Lytechinus pictus: one gene and its partner. The protein of the gene in region 2 interacts with the protein of the main gene of each other region in a pairwise test. Links are inferred from orthologs where the notes say so. Each region holds a gene or a part of one and is shown on either strand. Other genes may lie near its edges.

Region 1 (10,376 bases), on a different chromosome or scaffold from region 2:
TGTCAATTAATAGACAACATTTTTTCCCAAAACAGCACAAACATGAACGAATAAATGAATAAACCAGGAAATGAATAAGTGAAGCAATACGAAGGAGAACTTGAAATAGTAATGTATTAGGCCCCTCTCTCTCTCTCTCTATATATATATATAAACGTTTCACGTATTGGCTTCAGTGGTAAGGTAACAAAATATAGTTTGTTATATATAATGATATACGGTATAGAGAGAGAGATCAAATCCATACACAAAAAAGAGAAATTAACGATAATGGTTGGTCTAACATCACATAAAACAAAAAGTTTAATACAAACAAATACATCAATAAAAAAAATAATTTAAAGGACAAGTCCACCCCAAAAAAGTTGATATGAATAAAAAGAGGAAAAATCGAAAGATCATAACGCTGAAAATTTCATAAAAATCTGATGTAAAATAAGAAAGTTATAACATTTTGAAGTTTAGTTTAATTTAAAATAATAGTTATATATGCACATCCAGGTCGGTATGCAAATGAGGAAACTGATGACGCCACCCACTCACTATTTCTGTAGTATTATATGAAATATTAAATATGATATTTTCCAATTTTCTCCTCATTGTCAAGTGAAACAATGATTAATTCCTCCCTGAACATGTGGAATATATGGTTCATTCACGTTGGCCCTTATTGTAAGATCTGTGAAAAATGAAATATTGTATACAGTAATTCAACAAAAAAAAAAGAAATTGCGAGGGACATCATCAACTGTATCATTTGCATGCAAATGAGTTGTGCATATCACTGTTTTGTGAAAAATAAGCGAAACTTTAAAATATCACAACTTTCTTATTTTACATCCGATTTTGATGAAATTTCCAGCGTTATGCTAGTTTGATTTTTCTCTATTCAAATCAACATTTTTCTTTGACCTTTAAATAAAATATTAATTCATTTTATGTAACAAAAATAAGGTTATAACACCCTTCAACTACGACTAATTCAAAAAAGGTAAACGATTATTTTTAAATTTAGATTATATATCGTTACTTTCTTCAAATTGTTAAAGTCATTCATGCCTGAATGATCGAGGAATCTTCTGAGGATACCAGGTGAAAGATTAGATATTCTGAGCTTTACAATGATTGCCGTCATCATTTTGTATAGCCACAAGAACTTACAGAATGAATAAAAATAAATGAAATGTACGAGCCTGTATCAACATAAGACCTAGGCCTACGCACGCCTCTCAAATAACCCCCAAAAATATAATAAATAAATATATAGATAATAAGTAAATAAGTAAATAAATGAACTTCCATACATAAAAAGAATTAAAAACGAATGATACCTCTGACTCTCTATATCACAAAAGAAAAAAAATAATAAATAAATTAAATGATTAATGAATGAATATAAATACATTACTTAATCAATTAAAATAGATTGATAAATAAATGAATGAACTTCCACACATAAAAATAATTAAAAACGAATGATACCTCTGACTCTACATCACAAAAGACAAAAAACTGAAAACAAATAAATTAAATGATTAATGAATGAATATGATTAATCAATATAAATACATTAATTAATCAATTAAAATAGATTGAAATAAGTGAACTTCCACACATAGAAATAATTAAAAATGAATGATACCTCTTAATTACTCTCTATATCACAAAAGAAAAAAAAAACTGACAACAAATAAATTAAATGATTTATTAATCAATTAAAATAGATTGAAATAAATGATAACTCTGACTCTCTATATCACAAAAGAAAAAAAACTGAAACAAATAAATCAAATTATGAATAAAATACATTAATTAATCAATAGCCCCACACATGTGCGAATGCTGGGAAAAGCGCATTGGACGGGGCCGGTTTCGCGACTATCTTAGGATGCAAGCTTAATAATATACTTGTGATATAGGCCCCGCTACTGTGTTGGAGTGTCTGAAGTGCCGTAGTGCAGGGCCTATATAACGGTTATAGTATTATACTCGTGAAACAGGCCCCGCGAACGGACATTCTAAGCCATTCAACACAGCAGCGGGGCCTATATCACGAGTATATATAGTGAGCTGAAGTTAGCAACCTAGATATTGAGGTATGATCGATTACAATTTTTTTCTCGAGCGGGGCCTATATCACGAGTATGCCCTAGAATTTAGTAGATTTTTAAAATATAAGTCTAGGCCCTAATGTTAGCATTTTTAGGGCAGGCCGCATTTAGACTTATATAGTCATTGTTAGTACTTTTTTTAGTAGATCTACATGATAGCCTTGACGTCTGTTTCGAGCACTCATTCAATGAACAAGGTTATGATATAACCTTGTTCTCTGTTTGTATCTCCATGTGTGGTAAAATAAGGGTGGCAATGTTTGGCTTATTTTCTCTTTTTGTTTGGGACAAATGCTTGATTTTTTTACACTGACAGTTTTTATTACACCTATTCATCATACAAATTGGCTCTTAAGTAAATTTGATTCTTTAAATTGTTTTTTTCTTAATTTAGAATAGAGATTGAAAAATGAAAATTTTCTTGCCATATTACTTTCCACCAATAGAGGGCGTACACAAAAATATGCCCAAAATTCATGTTTTTGAGTGCTCTGGTGAATACAAAAATTATTCCCAAGTTACTAATGAAAAAGAAATTGCAACTGTAAGGAAATTAGTAATTTTGGTCACAAAAGTGATATTTTAATGATTTTTTTAAGTGTGTGCTCTGTACAGCATTGGCATACCATAGTCCTACATGTACATTCCCCACAGGCAGGATGGTTGCAGTGAGCTTGTGGTTTCGAGGAGTTTTTGAACATTAAAAAAAAAAAATCTCCCCGTACACAGACGGCCCGCGATCGTGCAGCCACCATTAGGGGGTTAACAATGCAAAATCCCCCCGACGGGGCTCGTCGATATTTGTCTTTATTTCATAAAAATATAGATCTATATAAACAACTGGACCAAAATAAAGATAATTATTCCATTTTGGCCGAAAATGCACCAAAATGGGAAAAAAAATTAAAAGGTAAAAAACAGTGACTTAGATTTACTTTGGCTGTCGCGCAACTCCCACTTCCTTGTTTTATCCGAACTTAATAACATATGGCCATTGAGTCCCTGTACAGATCGAGTTAGAACTTTGGTCTCTGTAATTGGTGGATGGAGCCAACGGAGTTCAGCAGAACAACCAATAAAACAGAGACCGAAGCTTTTGGTATTATCTAGGCCTAGATCCTATTCTACTAGATTAACCCCCGGGGGAGGGGGGGGGGGCAGTCAAATAGACTAGATCTATATTGCTGTACACATGTGTGACAAAAAAAAGTGTTTAAAGGGGTGTTTTTCAGGTTTGGACACGGGCCGCACGTGCACTCGTTAAGTATAATAAACACTGATTTTCAAGAAAGGGTGGTTTTGAAAGACTGGTCAATTGTCAATGTAGGGTAGAAAAAATTTTCTTCCAAAGCTTTTTTTAAAGCTAGCCAAGCGTGTTTAGGGTATTTTTTTCCCCAAGCTTTTTCCGCGGGGTCATATTCTGGCGACAAATTGTTTAAGTGCCAAAGTGTGTAAATAAAGCCCGCAAAAAACTTGTTTAGGGGGGTTATTTTGCACACAGAGAAAAACTTGTTTAGGTCCGTGTTTAGGGAAATAATTTTGGTCATGCATGTGTACAGCAATACATTTGACTGGCCCCCCTGGGGATTAACCTTGTTTGTTAGTCAAATTGTTGTGTAAAAAAGAAAGAAGAAAAAAAATACAAATGTACATCTAGGGCCAGGCCCTAGATCTAGATGATAGATCTAGGCCTATAACTTAGATGAAGCCAATAGAGCAAACCACCAACATTACGAGTCCTATGGGAGCCTTCTGTTTGTGTAGGAGGAGAACTGAGAACAATCAGAAAATGTTTTTAAAAATCTCCTCTGTGAAAGAGCAGATTTCTCAGTCTAATCTTTGCCAAGCCTAGACCCTGCATGGTTACTTCCTCAAAGAAATATTGATTTTGAATAATTTTCCTTGATAAAAGCCAAGATGATGGCATCACTATTGGCAATTTTTTCTTGCAATGTCAAAAAAAACCATTTTGGTCTAAGCAGCAAGCACTTGGAGTACAAGGCATGTATATTGTTTGTTTATGAAGGTCTGTAAAGGAGTACTATACTAACATAGATTTTTGGGTGTCGCCAGCTCATTGTTGTTCTTTTTCTTCATAGCCCCCGATTTTAGTTATTCTTTTTGACAGGGATAGGGAAAGCTCAAGCCTACAGGTTCAGGGTCTACTGCATTTTACATATCTATCCAGTACTTTTTCTTTTAAAGTTGAAGTAAATGCACAATGATATATGCATCTTGCTTAAAGTAACCAAGACTTGTGTTCTTTATTCTTGCTTTACAGTTAAGATGGCAGGCATGGCAGCAACTGATGATAGCCCAATTTATGAGGGATTCCTGTGTCCAATGTGCCTTCAAAACTTTGATTCTGTTTATCAACTCCAATCTCATGTGGAAAGTATGTTTGATGAAAATAATTTCACCTTTGAATAATATAATTCAAAGACTTCATGAAAGCCATCTTGGACCTCAAGGTTACAAATGAAGGAAAACAAAGAAGAAAGAAAGAACATACCAGTTTTACATACAGTTGTAGTAATATAAATTACGTGTATATTTTAATTTGCATATTTTTCAAACTGTCATTGAGAGTTGCAGTTGAAAGAAAAATGTAGTTGTTTCTGATAGACTGTTAATTGTCCTGTAAATCTGAAGTATTTTACAAATAATTTTGAATATTCATGAAGACAAAAGAAAATACATCATAAAATATCTTGATCAATACATTGATATTCTATTTTCCAAGACCATCCATTACTATAATTTACCAAATAATCTTTTGAGGGAAAAAATCCCTTCTTTTGACTTGTCTAATTATTCATAAACTTATTTGGAGATTATTTTGTATTTTGAACTATCATGATTAATTATTTTGATTTTTTTTGTGTGTAGCTGCTCATGGTAGTGAAGATAAGGTTGTACTAAGTAAGTTGAAAGGATTCTTTGGGAAAGCTAAGAATCTCATCACCAGCAGATCAGAGGAACAGTTCAGTGATGTCTCCAGAAATGAGCAAGGAGAAGGATCTCCCAAGAAATTACAACTGCTTGGCTCAGACCCTTTTACTTGGGATAATCCAGAGCTAGGTATTTGTTTTTTCATTATTACACAGTTGGATACAGTCAGACTGCAGGTCCCAAGAAAGTGGCTTCTTTCATCCAAGTGATATTCATGACTTGAGATGTTTTGCATATTTAATGAGCTTGATGCGGACCAAAACACCTCTTTTCATTCGGTCATTGCTGCTCTAATTGTGCATCAAATTTCATGAATTTGGTACCATTGTAAAGAAGAAGAATCATTCTTTCAGGTCATGTGTTTGGATTTATTCAAAGATTTTGTAATATAGGTTAAAATTTTGATCTAAAATATGCTACAAAAAAAAATTTTCACCTGACAAAAGCTGCTATTTTCACACTTTATTTTTGTTTGAGACAAAATGATTTTTATATCATGATAAAGCTGAATATGTATGCTTTGAAATGATATAGGTTTCAAAATAAGAACTGGTTTAATTGGGTCAAGATCACACTTTTCATTTGCCAAGTACATAAAGCAGCTTGAAAACAAGAATACTGCACTCTGATTGGTCAAAGAGACCACACAATGGCAAATTCCAACGGTTCCAGTGCCTGGGTTTGTGGGAAGGTCACACTTCCCATGTGGTAATCTCCTCAAATACCCCGCGCCTGTTGTTCTGTAACCTTATCCAGCCAATCAGAACTATGGATTTCATGCAAGTACAAAATTTCAGAAATCTCGTCTTGTACCTTGGTGGTACAATCCAAGTCTGCGGTCAGCCATCACCATCCGTGCCCAGATCTCTTGTCAAGTCTATCTGACCCCCGGAGGGGCCACTTCCATTGACGAGTGGATACCATGCGCGACCACGGGGTCTCGAAAAGCACCCTTAACACGTATTTTCCATATTCTGAAAATGCACCCCTTAACAAGTTTTGGCGTTTGAAACCCTACCCTTAACAAGTATTGGAAACAAATACTATTGGCAAGTATTCCCAGAATTGAGCCCCTAAACAAGTACAGCGATGTATTTTCCATATTCTGAAAATGCACCCCTTAACAAGTATTGGAAACAAATACTATTGGCAAGTATTCCCTGAAATGAACCCCTAAACAAGTACAGCGATATTTTATTGTTATGTCACGGGTCCGTCGGTCGTCGGTTTTACCTTTACACACCATTATTTTGGTTTATTACGGCCCCACCTTCCACACCTCGCGCAAATCGGACTCTAAACACGTAGTGTTGGGGCAAAAAGGACATCCTTTATAAAACATTTTGATTTTGTTTTATCATCCCCGCATATTTGACCCTAAACACGTATATTTTTCCGACCGAAATAGATACCCTTTTTTCAATATTTTTATGTTTTTGACACCCTTATCACGTTACGTACGTAACGTGCCCCATCTTGAAAAAGACATCCTTTTTACGTGTTTTTTTGGTCGCGCATGGTATCCACTCGTCAATGTAAGTGGCCCCCCCGGGATCTGACCCAAGTCCGGCTCGCCAAGATTGGCAAAGCACCTGATGATTGCTGTCGTCTGTGCATGTCAGCCTGCGAGGATGTGGAACATCTGGTTGCTACCTGTCCAGCCCTAGCACCTGTCCGACAGAACCTTATCCAGCGGGTTAAAGCTAATCCCAACACCAAGCAGTTTGGACCATGCTTTGAATCTACCCCTGCTCTTTTTGTAGAGTCGGTCCTTTTTTACCTCCTGGGCGTATTAGCTGCAACCCAAAGCCCAATTACATACGCTTATTCTGTACTTCTTACGCAACCTCCACACAACTCGTCAAAACTTACTCAGTACTTCATGATTGCAACTTAGAGTCTTAAATGAATTGCGGCCCTTCCAACGGCGCCGTTGATCTCCGACCTTAGCGGAGGAAGAACACAAGAGAGGTGGGAAAAGTGTGATCTTGACCCGATTAAAAGGTGCCGCATATCAAGAGTGGCATTGTGAGAAAGTACAGATGTTCAGCTTTATGGTGATATAGATATCATTGAGGCTCAAAATAAAAAGTTTTGCACAATTTGCAAAAGAAAACAGAGGAAGAAAATTCAGTTTTTAGGCACATTTTCAGGCCAGAAATTTACTTATTTAACAAAATATTGTATACAAAGTAAATGACCAATATGAAAGAGTAACGTTTACTCTATCTGATCGTGTAATAATATTTCATTTAATTTGAGGTTAAAACAGGTAAATTCTTAGAGAAAGAAAATCTCACGAATCACAAGATTTTGCAAGGAGGAGGATTCAGCCACGAGATGATTTGGATGAATCTGGCCTTTTTGCTCATTAGCCTAGGGACCTGTGGTCTGACTGGATATAATTCTTACAATAGCTTGAACTGCAGCATTGACCATCACCCCAAATATCATCTACTTTGACTTTATCCACATCATCAACATCACTCTCCCCTATCCCATTCAGAGATACCATTGGATCATTATCAATATCATCCCTATCAAGCTTCATCATCATCATCAACACCAGTGCACTATCATCATCATCACCACCACCATCATTATCATCATCATTATCATCACTATCGATCATTATCATCATCATCATCATCTTCGTCGTTATCACCAATTCACCATCATCATCATCATTATCATCATCATCACCACCACCACCATCATTATCATCATCATCACCACCACCATCATTATCATCATCATCACTATCAATCATCATCATTATCATCGTCGTTATCACCACCATCATCATCATTATCATCATCATCATCATCACCACCACCATCATTATCATCACCACCACCATCATTATCATCATCATCACTATCAATCATTATCATCATCATCATCGTCGTTATCACCATCATCATCATCATCATCATCACCATCATCATCATCACCACCACCACCACCATCGTTATCATCATCATCACCACCACCATCATCATAATCATCACCACCACCATCATTATCATCAACATCACTATCAATCATCGTCGTTATCACCATCATCATCGTCATCATTATCATCATCATCATCATCACCACCACCATCATTATCATCATCATCACTATCAATCATTATCATCATCATCATCGTCGTTATCACCATCATCATTATCATCATCATCATCACCACCATCACCACCATCACTATCATCATCATCACCACCACCATCATTTTCATCATCATCACTATCAATCATCATCATTGTTATCACCATCATCATAATCATCACCACCTCCATCATTATCATCATCATCACTATCAATTATCATCATCATCATCATCGTCGTTATCACCACCATCATCATCATCATTATCATCATCATCATCATCAACACCACCATCATTATCATCATCATCATCATCATCGTCGTTATCACAATCATCATCATCATCATCATCACCACCACCACCACCATCACTATCAATCATCATTATCAATCATCATCATTGTCATCATTATCACCATCATCATCACTATTAATCATCATCGTTATCACCATCATCATCATCATCATCATCATCATCGTCGTTATCACCACCATCATCATCATCATTATCATCATCATCATCATCATCACCACCACCATCATTATCATCATCATCACCATCATTATCATCATCATCACTATCAATCATTATCATCATCATCATCATCATCATCGTCGTTATCACCATCATTATCATCATTATCATCATCATGATCACCACCACCATCACTATCATCATTATCACCACCACCACCACCATCATTTTCATCATCATCACTATCAATCATTATCATCATCATCATCGTTATCATCATCATCACCACTATCAATCATCATTATCAATCATCATCATTGTCATCATTATCACCATCATCATCACTATTAATCATCATCGTTATCACCATCATCATCATCATCATCATCACTATCAATCATCATCACCATCATCATCATCACCACCACCACCACCATCGTTATCATCATCATCACTATCAATCATTATCACCATCATCATTATCACCACCACCACCACCATCATTTTCATCATCATCACTATCAATCATTATCATCATCATCATCGTTATCACCATCATCATCATCACCACTATCAATCATCATTATCAATCATCATCATTGTCATCATTATCATCATCATTATCATCACTATCGATCATTATCATCATCATCTTCGTCGTTATCACCAATTCACCATCATCATCATCATCATCATCATCACCACCACCACCATCATTATCATCATCATCACCACCACCATCATTATCATCATCATCACTATCAATCATCATCATCATCATCGTCGTTATCACCACCATCATCATCATTATCATCATCATCATCATCACCACCACCATCATTATCATCACCACCACCATCATTATCATCATCATCACTATCAATCATTATCATCATCATCATCGTCGTTATCACCATCATCATCATCATCATCATCACCATCATCATCATCACCACCACCACCACCATCGTTATCATCATCATCACCACCACCATCATCATAATCATCACCACCACCATCATTATCATCATCATCACTATCAATCATCATCATCATCATCGTCGTTATCACCACCATCATCATCATCATTATCATCATCATCATCATCATCATCACCACCATCATCATTATCATCATCATCACTATCAATCATTATCATCATCATCATCGTCGTTATCACCATCATCATTATCATCATCATCATCACCACCATCACCACCATCACTATCATCATCATCACCACCACCATCATTTTCATCATCATCACTATCAATCATCATCATTGTTATCACCATCATCATAATCATCACCACCTCCATCATTATCATCATCATCACTATCAATTATCATCATCATCATCATCGTCGTTATCACCACCATCATCATCATCATTATCATCATCATCATCATCACCACCACCATCATTATCATCATCATCATCATCATCGTCGTTATCACCATCATCATCATCATCATCATCACCACCACCATCACTATCAATCATCATTATCAATCATCATCATTGTCATCATTATCACCATCATCATCACTATTAATCATCATCGTTATCACCATCATCATCATCATCATCATCATCATCATCACCACCACCATCATTATCATCATCATCACCATCATTATCATCATCATCACTATCAATCATTATCATCATCATCATCATCATCATCGTCGTTATCACCATCATTATCATCATTATCATCATCATG
Region 2 (10,376 bases):
AGACGAAACATATCAACATGTATTTTTTTCAATGTGCTGATAAATTAAACTTACCCTTTTTAAAGGAAATATTTTGGAAACAAATTCTTATTGGAATAAATGGGACTAACATGAAAACAGAATTATGAAACCATATTATAATTTTGATTAAATTTATGATCTTCCATGATAGCGAAAAGGGGGTACCTGCAAATGTAAATAAAATTAAAGATAGATTAATTGAAATTAAATAGAAAAGAAGAGAAAAGGCTTGCACTGGAAAGGGGAACTTTGTCATTTCACCTCAGGAAATGGGAACATTTTGAAGAATCAACCTCACAGCCCTCTACCCCAGCAATACTCCCTAGATGAGGTCCATTTGTTTGTTTTTGTTGTTTTGCCAGTTTGCTTGTTTTTTTTTCTTTCTCGCTCTCCTTTTCCTTCTTCTTATGCTTTGTTTATCGGGGAAGGGGGTGTTTAATGGATGAAGCGTGATGGAGAGTGTGTTTTCTTTTGTGTGTGTGTTTTTTATCATAACTTCCTCAATTACTTGATTTAATTGTATTGTAAAGGGAAAAAAATCAAGTTCAACTTGAGATTTAAGTATGTTTATAAATATTCAGAGATCTCTAGATGTTGTAGAAGATTTTATTTTGTATTACGAATTCCTTTGTGATTATAAATATGTACAGATTGATTCTTAGTTTACTTTTCGAATAATTTTTTTTTTTTATGAATTCTGATGCAATTATGTTAATTATTTTGCGTTATTCATTATATTCCTATTTTATATATACTGAGGAAGAAATAATATAAGATTTTAAAACAAAAATTGGAATAAAACTAATAATACAAGACAAGTTATTCATCCAACATTTAATACTATTTGTCAATAATATACTTTCATTTTTTTCTACAGTAATATAATGTACCCCCTCAAATCTTTCTGCTACATACATGTATGGGGAAAGGTGTATTTTACTAGCCCATATGTACACATAGAAACCATAACTCATTAAAAAAAAGAATTGTTTTATTAGGCAGCATCTTCCACAAATTGGTGTACTTATTTTGTTCTTACCCTCTTTGGTCTAATGAAGCATATGCAGCGTAGATGTTTCATGATCTCCCTGTTCGCAGAGTCTAATCTTTCAAAAAGATAGACTTCTTTCTGTAGGATTTCAGACTGAGCATACACCATGGTTACAAAGCTGATCTACATTTGAAATAAAATGAGAGAAAAAAGTGAAAAGCTAGTCAAGGAATTATTCATGACATCTTACTCCTGATGGAATCTGTTATCCCATGTTATTGTTGTGCACTGATGATCATTGTTTTGATCAATTTGTTTAACAACACTTTTTTTATAATATTTTAGAAAAAAATAGCTAGTATAGGCACTCCTACAAAAAAAAAATCAGCATTTCTACTAAAAAAGCCTTACCTTAAAATATTCTTTATTGTCTTGTTTGCATAGCAGAGCAAGACTATAGTCGGCGACGGCATCAACATTGAAATCTTAACCAAGGTTAAGTTTTTGAAATGACAGCAAAACTTAAAAAGTATAAGGACCTAGTTCATGAAACTTGGACATAAGAGCAACCATGTATCCCTGAATATCATGTGCGAGTTTCAGGTCACATGACCAAGGTCAAAGGTCATTTAGAGTCAACAAACTTTGGTAACGTTGGGGGTATTTGTGGAATTGTCATCATACATGTATGTAACTTTAAAAGTTTATGGATCTAGTTCATGAAACTTGGACATAAGAGCAGTAATGTATCCCTGAATACCCTCTGTGCATTTAAAGGCGACCGCACACCTTACGATTGGTCAGCGACCCGATTTCAGAATAAAATGTAGTAGAATTTGATGCTAACATTGAGACTTGAAATACCTTACTGCAGTGGTGGACTGTGACCCCGAGGAGACAAAGCATTGGAGGGGCACAGCATTATTCACAAACACTACAGTTCCCCTCCAATGGTTTGTCTCCTCCGGGTCACGGTCCGCCACTGCCTTACTGTGTAATGTTCTAAATCATTGTACGAATACCTATGTTCAAATCTGTGACTATGCTAGTATCCTTCTTAGAATAAAAGCGAATTTAATATCTAGTCGTAATGACGTCATAGCAGTCGTACGATTGGCTACGATTTAAAACTATTTTGGCCTTTACTCCGAAATAAAGGCTTGCAATCTTTCAAAATGGTTATATTAGTATTTTTTCAATCAATTTTAACCTCAAATAAAATGGTATGTTCCATTCACATTTTCAGAAAATGAGCAAAATGCGATTTGTTCCAAAATCGGATCGCGAACAGTCGTAAGGTGTGCCGTGGCCTTAAGGAGCATGGCCAAGATCAAAAGTCATATAAAGGTCAATGAACTCCGTGTTGGGAGTACATGTACATGTATGTGTTGAATTGGCACCATAACTTAGAAAGTTTTTTTATGGATCTAGCTTATGAAACATCAACATAAGGGTAATCAAGTATGAATGATCGTTTTGCACATGTTTTAGGTCACATGATCATGGTCAAAGGTCATTTTGGGTCAATGGACAAAATATTTTATTATCATATTAGTGTTTTCTTCTGTAAATAATTATTCATTAGCTGTTTTCAAAGGCAGCACTGCTGATATATCGAATTGCGTAATGCAGGCAAGACTGCCAGAGGTGTTCCACTTGTTAGCATTTGTAGACATTGCTCAAAACTTACCTGGAAATTTCGTAAATAGTAAAAAAATAAGGCTTAAATACTCCATAAAATGTGCTGGAAATGCATGTACATGCACTGTACACTCATTACTGTGGCTAAAAATAGGCACTTCCAATGGCAAGCCTATATGTATGTTTATGCTGCCCTGGGACTGTGTTCTAATCCCAGAGGACCTGTGGAAACACACATTGATAGACAATCATCTCGGCTAACAGAAAATGTGAAGATGCCAATAAATCAAACTTGACCATCCACTAAAAATATACACATGCATATGGGGCCAACTCACGCATTGACTACAGGGGTATATGTGCACATGTGTGACAACACCATCTAGCACCCATGTGAGTACCTACCTTGCTGGAATTTTCAAATTTCTGCTTTCTTTTGAATGAATATGACTAACAGAGCAACAAAACTACAACTTACAAAACAAATTCCAATTAACATTAAATCCAATCATGGCAATAGAACCATTATAGAATCTAGATGGAAAATTCCTATAGACAGATGTAATATTTGTTGAATAGGATTTAGAAAATGCAAGCAAGGTCTTCTTTTTGCTCCAACTTGGAAAATGAAAGATGGATAACGAGAACGAACGAGACATGGAGGTCTAACTTTTCCTTTTATTGAGGGTCCAGTATGTGCCCACTCACACAAGCATGCGAGGTTTTAGACAGGAATAACCGTCGTTTCTGGGGATTTATTCAACAATTTCTGACATTTTACTGTAATCCCCATTTACCGACGGTAGGGTGTACGTGTGGGCTCGCATGTGTTCTCATTCCCTCCCTTTTGTCAATTCACAGTCCAAAGTTTGATGTAATTTTACACATCGAATTTACAATCTAAGGATGTATAAACAACAAACTTTTAAAACTTGATGTTTTAACATTTAAATACTTTAAACGATATAGATGAAAAAGGCATGAAAAATATACTTTACCGATGTTTAATTGGGTTGAACACGATAAAAATGGTCAAAATGGCAGCCAAACTATAAAATATTTACAAACGAACGTCAACAATCACGAATGTGATATCGATATTGCTTTCGATATTATACGATCTGCTCCATATGCGAACGAAACCGAAGATAAACGATACTAGTTATACTAGTACTAGTACTAGTTATAATCGCGATATATCGATTCGAGACATTAAGTTAATACGATAATGACGTCATTTAAGATGGCAACTTGCAAGAAAAACCGTCAGGTCAGGTGAAAATGTCTTAGATGACAGATTTCTCAATCATCCAGAGGATTTTTTTCAATAACTCCGGCCCAAGGTATGCAATTGCTTAATTTATTTATATTTCCCTGATAATGGAAACCATGAAACTTTCAATTTTGCTTAAAAAACAGTTTTAAATCGCGATCTATAAAACGCTAGTTCACTATACGTTGGCTGTAGGTACGGGGCCCCATCCCCTTCAGTCTATGTATGGTGAGTGGAGCCAACGTAGTTCAGCGGAACAAACAAAATACAGAGACTGAAGCTTTTGGTCTAGCGAGGTTTGTGCCTCGATGTGTCACAATAGACCTTCATCCATAAAATCGAGGTAATTGATTTTTTCCCCTTTTATTTGGAGTGCAATTGCGACCCCATTCTACCCCATTTTGGAGAGTACCCATGTCTGCCTAGTAATACACAGACGAGTCCTGGGCTCCTTGGGTTAATACTTTATGTGCAGTTTTGCATTGGGCTTTCTGGAGTAGTGGGGGAAGGGTATTTTTAAATCAAATCTGACACTTGATCCTAAAAGAAAGGTGAAAAATGAGTATTTCCATTGAATTTGCCATTATCAATACCACGAAACCCGCTAGTTTACAAAAATATGGTACATTTATTCACAAAAATACAAGACTTTGATTGAACTTCCTTTTTTAATGCCACATTAAAATGATGGTAGTAACCAAGTGTAAAATAGATTTGGAGCATTTTATTCTCTTTAATTTGATACCAAAATAATTAAATTTGGATAACGGGATCATATGTCAGAATTGCATTGATTTGAACTTTGATTTTTCCCTCAAAACCATGACCATTAATTTTGGCTGTGTGAATTTTTTTGTGCAGTCACCCTATTAAAAAAATATTATCATGAACCTTTTCCAGGTTTTTATTTTCAATTTTATTTAGTGGGGGTGCATATGGAGCTCTGACATTATCCTGGTTTAAGTCACCACTCCATTCACTGCCATTTATTTCGTCAGCAGCGGGGACTTCTTTCCTCTCCCATTGACTTTGTACACAACGAGTGTCGAGTGCACACACTCCGACTCTCCGAGTCCGACACACACGAGAAGAGAGGTGATTTATTTCAGGATAAGGCCGGAACTCTTGCCAAAAATCAACAAAAGTGAGTGGTTACAAATGGTTGTCTTGCTTATGGGTGTACAACAATTTTTTTTCTAATTTATAATGTTTAACAAATCGAAAAATACATTTCAACATCTTACTAACTCACCCAACACAATAGTGCGCGTGTGGGACAACGCATTCAATATCAGCATAAATTTGAAGAATCTTACCGTTTCTTTGTCCATAAGGAGTACCTTCATGCCAGGACCACTTTCCTCTATCATTTTCGCAACATACTGCTTCACAGCCAATACGACATTCATCGTCAAACATCTGTATTTTACTCTATGAAGGGGGAAAAAGATACGAGATCAACGTAAAAAAAACAACAAAGTCAACATACGTTGAACTTGGGCCTTTGCTGTATAATTTGCTAGTGTCGTATGTCGCCCTCTACGTTGAGAACTTTATAATGACTTTCCAAATAAATGTAAAATGCATTTTAAATTTCCTGAATGGGATAGGCTTACTCAACATGCAAAAGAACATGATTCGAGATATACACAATATAGTGTATTATTTGGGGTATTATTGCAGAGAATAGAGTCAAATCAATCCGAACAGGGGCGCATCAGGGGTAGGTGGCCGGGGGGGGGGGGGAATTGGCAGTGGAAGCATAACAATTTAGGGGGGACGGAAAAAATATTTTCACCTACATTTTCCCAGTCGGCTGCTAAAAGCTGATTTTGTTTATATTTTTTGTTAACGGGGTAGTCCACACTATAGTCTGAAGTTTTAACTACATCTTAGTTTCTTATAAACAAGATGAGATATCTAACACGGCAGGCGCAATACAGGATTTTGCACCCCGTGGGCCCTACCTGATTTTGGCGCCCGGGTTGGCGCCCTTGTGTACTTTTCGAAAAATGGGGCCCCCTTGAACATGAATATTGAACAAGATGGGTATCTAATTCTAAACAAACATTTTATGCGAGTTGAAAAAATTGTTATTCTGACCTAAAATTTGACACTCTAAGCACTTTGGTTCATCAAGCAGGAAGGGTATTTAACTAGACATTTTATGCGAACGCGTAGAGCGAGCTGAAATTTTTTGTTATTCCAATTAACACAAGACTGCACAATCTAATGACCATGAGTAGGATGGGTAGACCTATTTAAACAACTGATGCGAGCGCGAAGCGCGAGCAGAAAATTTTTGATATTCTGACCTAGAATCTAGACGTTGTAAGCACTTTTGGTATTCATGAACATCTTACTAAACTTATGCGAGCGCGTAGCGCGAGCTGAAAAATTCCAAGCCAAAACTGGACATTCTAAGCACTTTTGTGACCATCAACAAGATGGCTATCTGTTTAAACATTTCATGCGAGCGCAAAGCACGAGATGAAAATTTTTGATATGCCGAACCAAACCTTAAGATTCTAAAGCATCTAAACAATTGATGTGAGTGCGAAGCGAAAGCTGAAATTTTGGGTATTTGGACATTCTAAGCGCTTTTGATAATAATGAACAGAATGGCTATCTAACTAAACATTTTATGCGAGCGCGAAGCGCGAGCTGAAATTTTTTGATATTTTGACCTAACATTTTGACATTCTAAGCACTTTGGGTAATCATGAACAGAACTACTACCTAACTAAACATTTTATGCGAGAGCGAAGCGCGAGCTTAAAATTTTAGATAGTCCGACCAAAACCTTAAGATTCCATGACGAAAAACCTCCATTTGATAACACTATACCCCTATTTCCCTCCGCATCAATTCTCTTCTCCAAGCTACAACAAACCCTTACTGCCCCAAGCAGTATCAAAACACCTGTGTCTTGACCTCGGTCCGAAGATAACAACAGCCCGGCATATACAGTCACAGTAGGGGGCCACACAAAATGGATATATGGCAGTGCATAGAGCATAATAGCTCTATGCATAGAGCTCTATGGGCAATGTGTGAGCGCGGTAGCATCCCTGCAAACCATGTCGTCATTTTATCCCCCTACTTTCCTAATTTCGAGGTCGATTTTCTTCGTTCGAAATTGAAAATGGGCTAACATTGGATTTCTGAATACAATATGCCTTTGAAAACGTGATTAAATATCGAATACAATAATTTCATTCCGAAGGTCCTACTACAGGCAGAGAAGTCTTACGTAATAGCACAGCTGTTGTTTATCATTTCGTCCTTGGCTCAACGCTCATAATCTGGCCTGTGGAGGAGAAATTGAGACAGCGGGATTACCTGGCCAATCAGGGTTGATCGGCGCTTGGACATGATTTTTTCAAATTCCAAACAGAAAAAGGGGTATAGAACCGCAGTTTGCAATCTGAACTGCGGTCTTTCTCCAAACGGGGGTTTGACGTAATGTAAAGCACTTTTTGTGAACAGAAATAGAATTGGTATCTATCTAAACTATTGATGCGAGCGCGAAGAGCGACCAAAAAAAATGATATTCTGGCCTAAAAGCTCGGATTCTAAGCCACTTTTTGAAACAATGAACAGGATGGTCATTTAAGCCCCTTTCACAATTGACGTACGACCACTTGCGACCTTTTGGTCGTGCGACAGGCTGCAACAGGCATCAATCGCCAGTCATCTCATAATATCGCACAGAGGCTTTCACAGTTGCAACAGCTGTCGTACAACAAAAACAACCAGTAAAACCCGTTGCACGAGTAAGTCGCTTATGATCCTATTGTGCTCGTGCGATCACATGCGAGTGTAATTGCACGAGGGATTGCGAGGGGAACGGTCGTACACAACGGTAGTGCAATGTTGTAAGCCGTTGCGATCGGTCTTGCAACAGTCTTATGGCCCATCATATTATCGCACCCAGTCGCAAGACAGGTCTCTGTACATGTAGGTCGCTAGCACATGTGCAAGTGTTGTACGACCTCCAGTCGAGTAAATGCGACTACTTAGTTGTGCCACCTGTCGCACCAAGTCGTGCAACGTTGAACAACACTCCCACGATGATCGCCCGACCGATGGTACGACCCCGGATACGAGCTGATGCGAGTGAATCGGTCGTATTTGATCGCGTTCGGATTTTGAACATGTTCAAAGTTCAGATGTGACCAGTCACGACCACCTTGAGTTCGTGCGACCGTCTACAACGACTGCGAGTGCTCGCAAGTCACAAAGAGATCGATCGTGCAACAGCAGGAAAAAACTGTTGCAGGCGGTCGTAAACTGGTCGGATGTCAATTGTGAAAGGGGCTGTACGGTCGCATACATGCGAATGCAACGGTAGTGGAATGTTGTAAGCCGTAATTTCGATCGGTCTTGCAACAGTCTTATATTATCGCAACCAGTCGCAAGACTGGTCTCTGTAGGTATCTAGCGCATGTGCAAGTGTTGTACGACCTCCAGTCGACTAAATGCGACTATACGTAGTTGTGTCACCTCTCGCACCAAGTCGTACAACGTTGAACAACACTCACACGATGATCGCCCGACCGATGGTACGACCTGATGCGAGTAAATCAATCGTATTTGATCGCGTTTGGATTTTGAACATGTTCAAATTCAAATGCGACCAGTCACGACCACCTCCGACCACCTCAAATTCGTGCGTTCGTCTACAACCACTGCGAGTGCTCGCAAGACACCAAGAGATCGATCGTGCAACAACAAGAAAAAACTGTTGCAGGCGGTCGTAAACAGGTCGTACGTCAATTGTGAAAGGGGCTTAAACTAAACAAGCGATGCGATCGAGGAGCGAGATGAAAATAAGTGATATACTGACTTGAAACGGTAACTTTTGAATTACTGCATTATTGCATTGTGAAGGGTAATGAATAAATCCCGTTCGCCCTTGGAAGCAGGGGTGTATAGAGTCACATCAAAGATGTTTTTTAATTGAGTTCTAATTATAAAGGAGAGATTTTACCTAAATCTCCTTCATTTTGGTGCGAAAAAAACTTTTTTTGGGGTTATCAAGTTTTTCTAAACAAAATCGCATGGGAGTAAGTTTAAAATTTGTGTATTTTCCATAGTAAAACTGCAACTTTTTACTGTTCGATATAGGTTTTGATATTTCTTGTTTTAGCTGTTCAGTTTATTTGTTATCTTTTTTATTCCTTCCTTTCTTCTTCCTTTTTATCTTCCTTTCTTTTTTTCTTCCTTCCTTCCTTTCTTTTTTTCTTCCTTCCTTCCTTTCTTTTTTTTTCTCTCTCTTTCTTATTTTTGGGGGACTGTCCCCTCCTCCTGAAATTTAGGGGGGACGTACCCCCCCTGTCTCCCCCGCTTCCGCCGCCTATGGGGCGGCAAGAGCCAAAAAATCCCGGTCATAATGGTATGAACAGGCAGAGGTGCAATGAGGCAACATTTTGTAGGGCCGGGTCAGATATGGCTATCGGGCAAGATCTTTTTTAAATAAAGTTGCGAGCGACTGCATTATGAGCAAATATTTTGACATTTTTATTACAGAAATAAAATTTCGTGATAGATTTTGACATAATATTAAAAAAATAAAATCATATTTCAACCTCCCCTCTTTACTTTCCTTTCCTTTCTTTTGTTTTTGATCTATGCGCCACTGTGAACAAGATTCTTTCTTATGATTGTGCGCGAAGTTTTATATATTTGCAGCAGTAGCGCGAAGACTTTAAAAAATGAATAAAAGAGGGGCACAGTATGGCATATGAACTAAAAAGCTGCTTGATATTAGTCCCGAGGGGGCGAAGCGAGCGAGAAAAAAATACCTTTTAGAGAGACTTTGAGATCTTTTTTATTACATTGTATTCATTAAATAAATATTAAATAATCTTACACTTTTCCATTGCCCTTCTTTCTTTCGTTTCTTTTTTGTTCTTGGTTGTAGAACTTTTGGGGGCCATGGCCCAACCATTCCATCTGTACGCCAGTGCTATGCGGGTGGGGTCCGGCGGGGGTGGAGCCCCATGCAGAACTTCTTGATATCAAAGTCATTTTAAAGATTACAGATTGCCGCTATTTTTAATCAAATTGCAGGTATATACAGTATAACACACAAAATATTAATTCAAGGCAGTTGCGTAATGAACCAAATTTTGGAGGGGGCACAACATAGCAATGTGAGAAACTTTGTAAAAAGTCGGCAGCGAGCGAAACGAGCCCGAAGTTTTTTTGGCCTTTTAAAATGACATTCTAATTATGTGATAGATTTTTCCATGATATTCAGCAAATAACATATTTCATTGTTTTCCATTCATTATTTTCATAACGTTGCTTCCTATATTGTCTATATAGCCCTTTGAAGGCTACAGATGAAGAGCCCTAACTGCTGCGTGGGGTCTGGGACAGGCCCCCGGTAGCTTTGGAGATTTAGCCAAAGTAAACATGAAGAGACTTTTTAACGGTAACTTT

The links. The genes of interacting proteins can lie anywhere in the genome.
Region 1: the proteins of vacuolar protein sorting-associated protein 45-like (region 2) and rabenosyn-5-like interact in a two-hybrid assay, tested with the Drosophila melanogaster proteins (2 studies listed by BioGRID). The link is inferred for Lytechinus pictus from reciprocal best matches to the Drosophila melanogaster genes Vps45 and Rbsn-5.

What each region holds. Positions count from the first base shown.
Region 1 is NC_087247.1:72,181,774-72,192,149, reverse strand, and holds the start of rabenosyn-5-like, read left to right. Parts: upstream 1-4,385; 5' UTR 4,386-4,397; coding exon 4,398-4,506; intron 4,507-5,000; coding exon 5,001-5,192; intron 5,193-10,376.
Region 2 is NC_087249.1:3,318,095-3,328,470, reverse strand, and holds the start of vacuolar protein sorting-associated protein 45-like, read right to left. Parts: upstream 5,461-10,376; 5' UTR 5,336-5,460; coding exon 5,243-5,335; intron 1,196-5,242; coding exon 1,061-1,195; intron 1-1,060.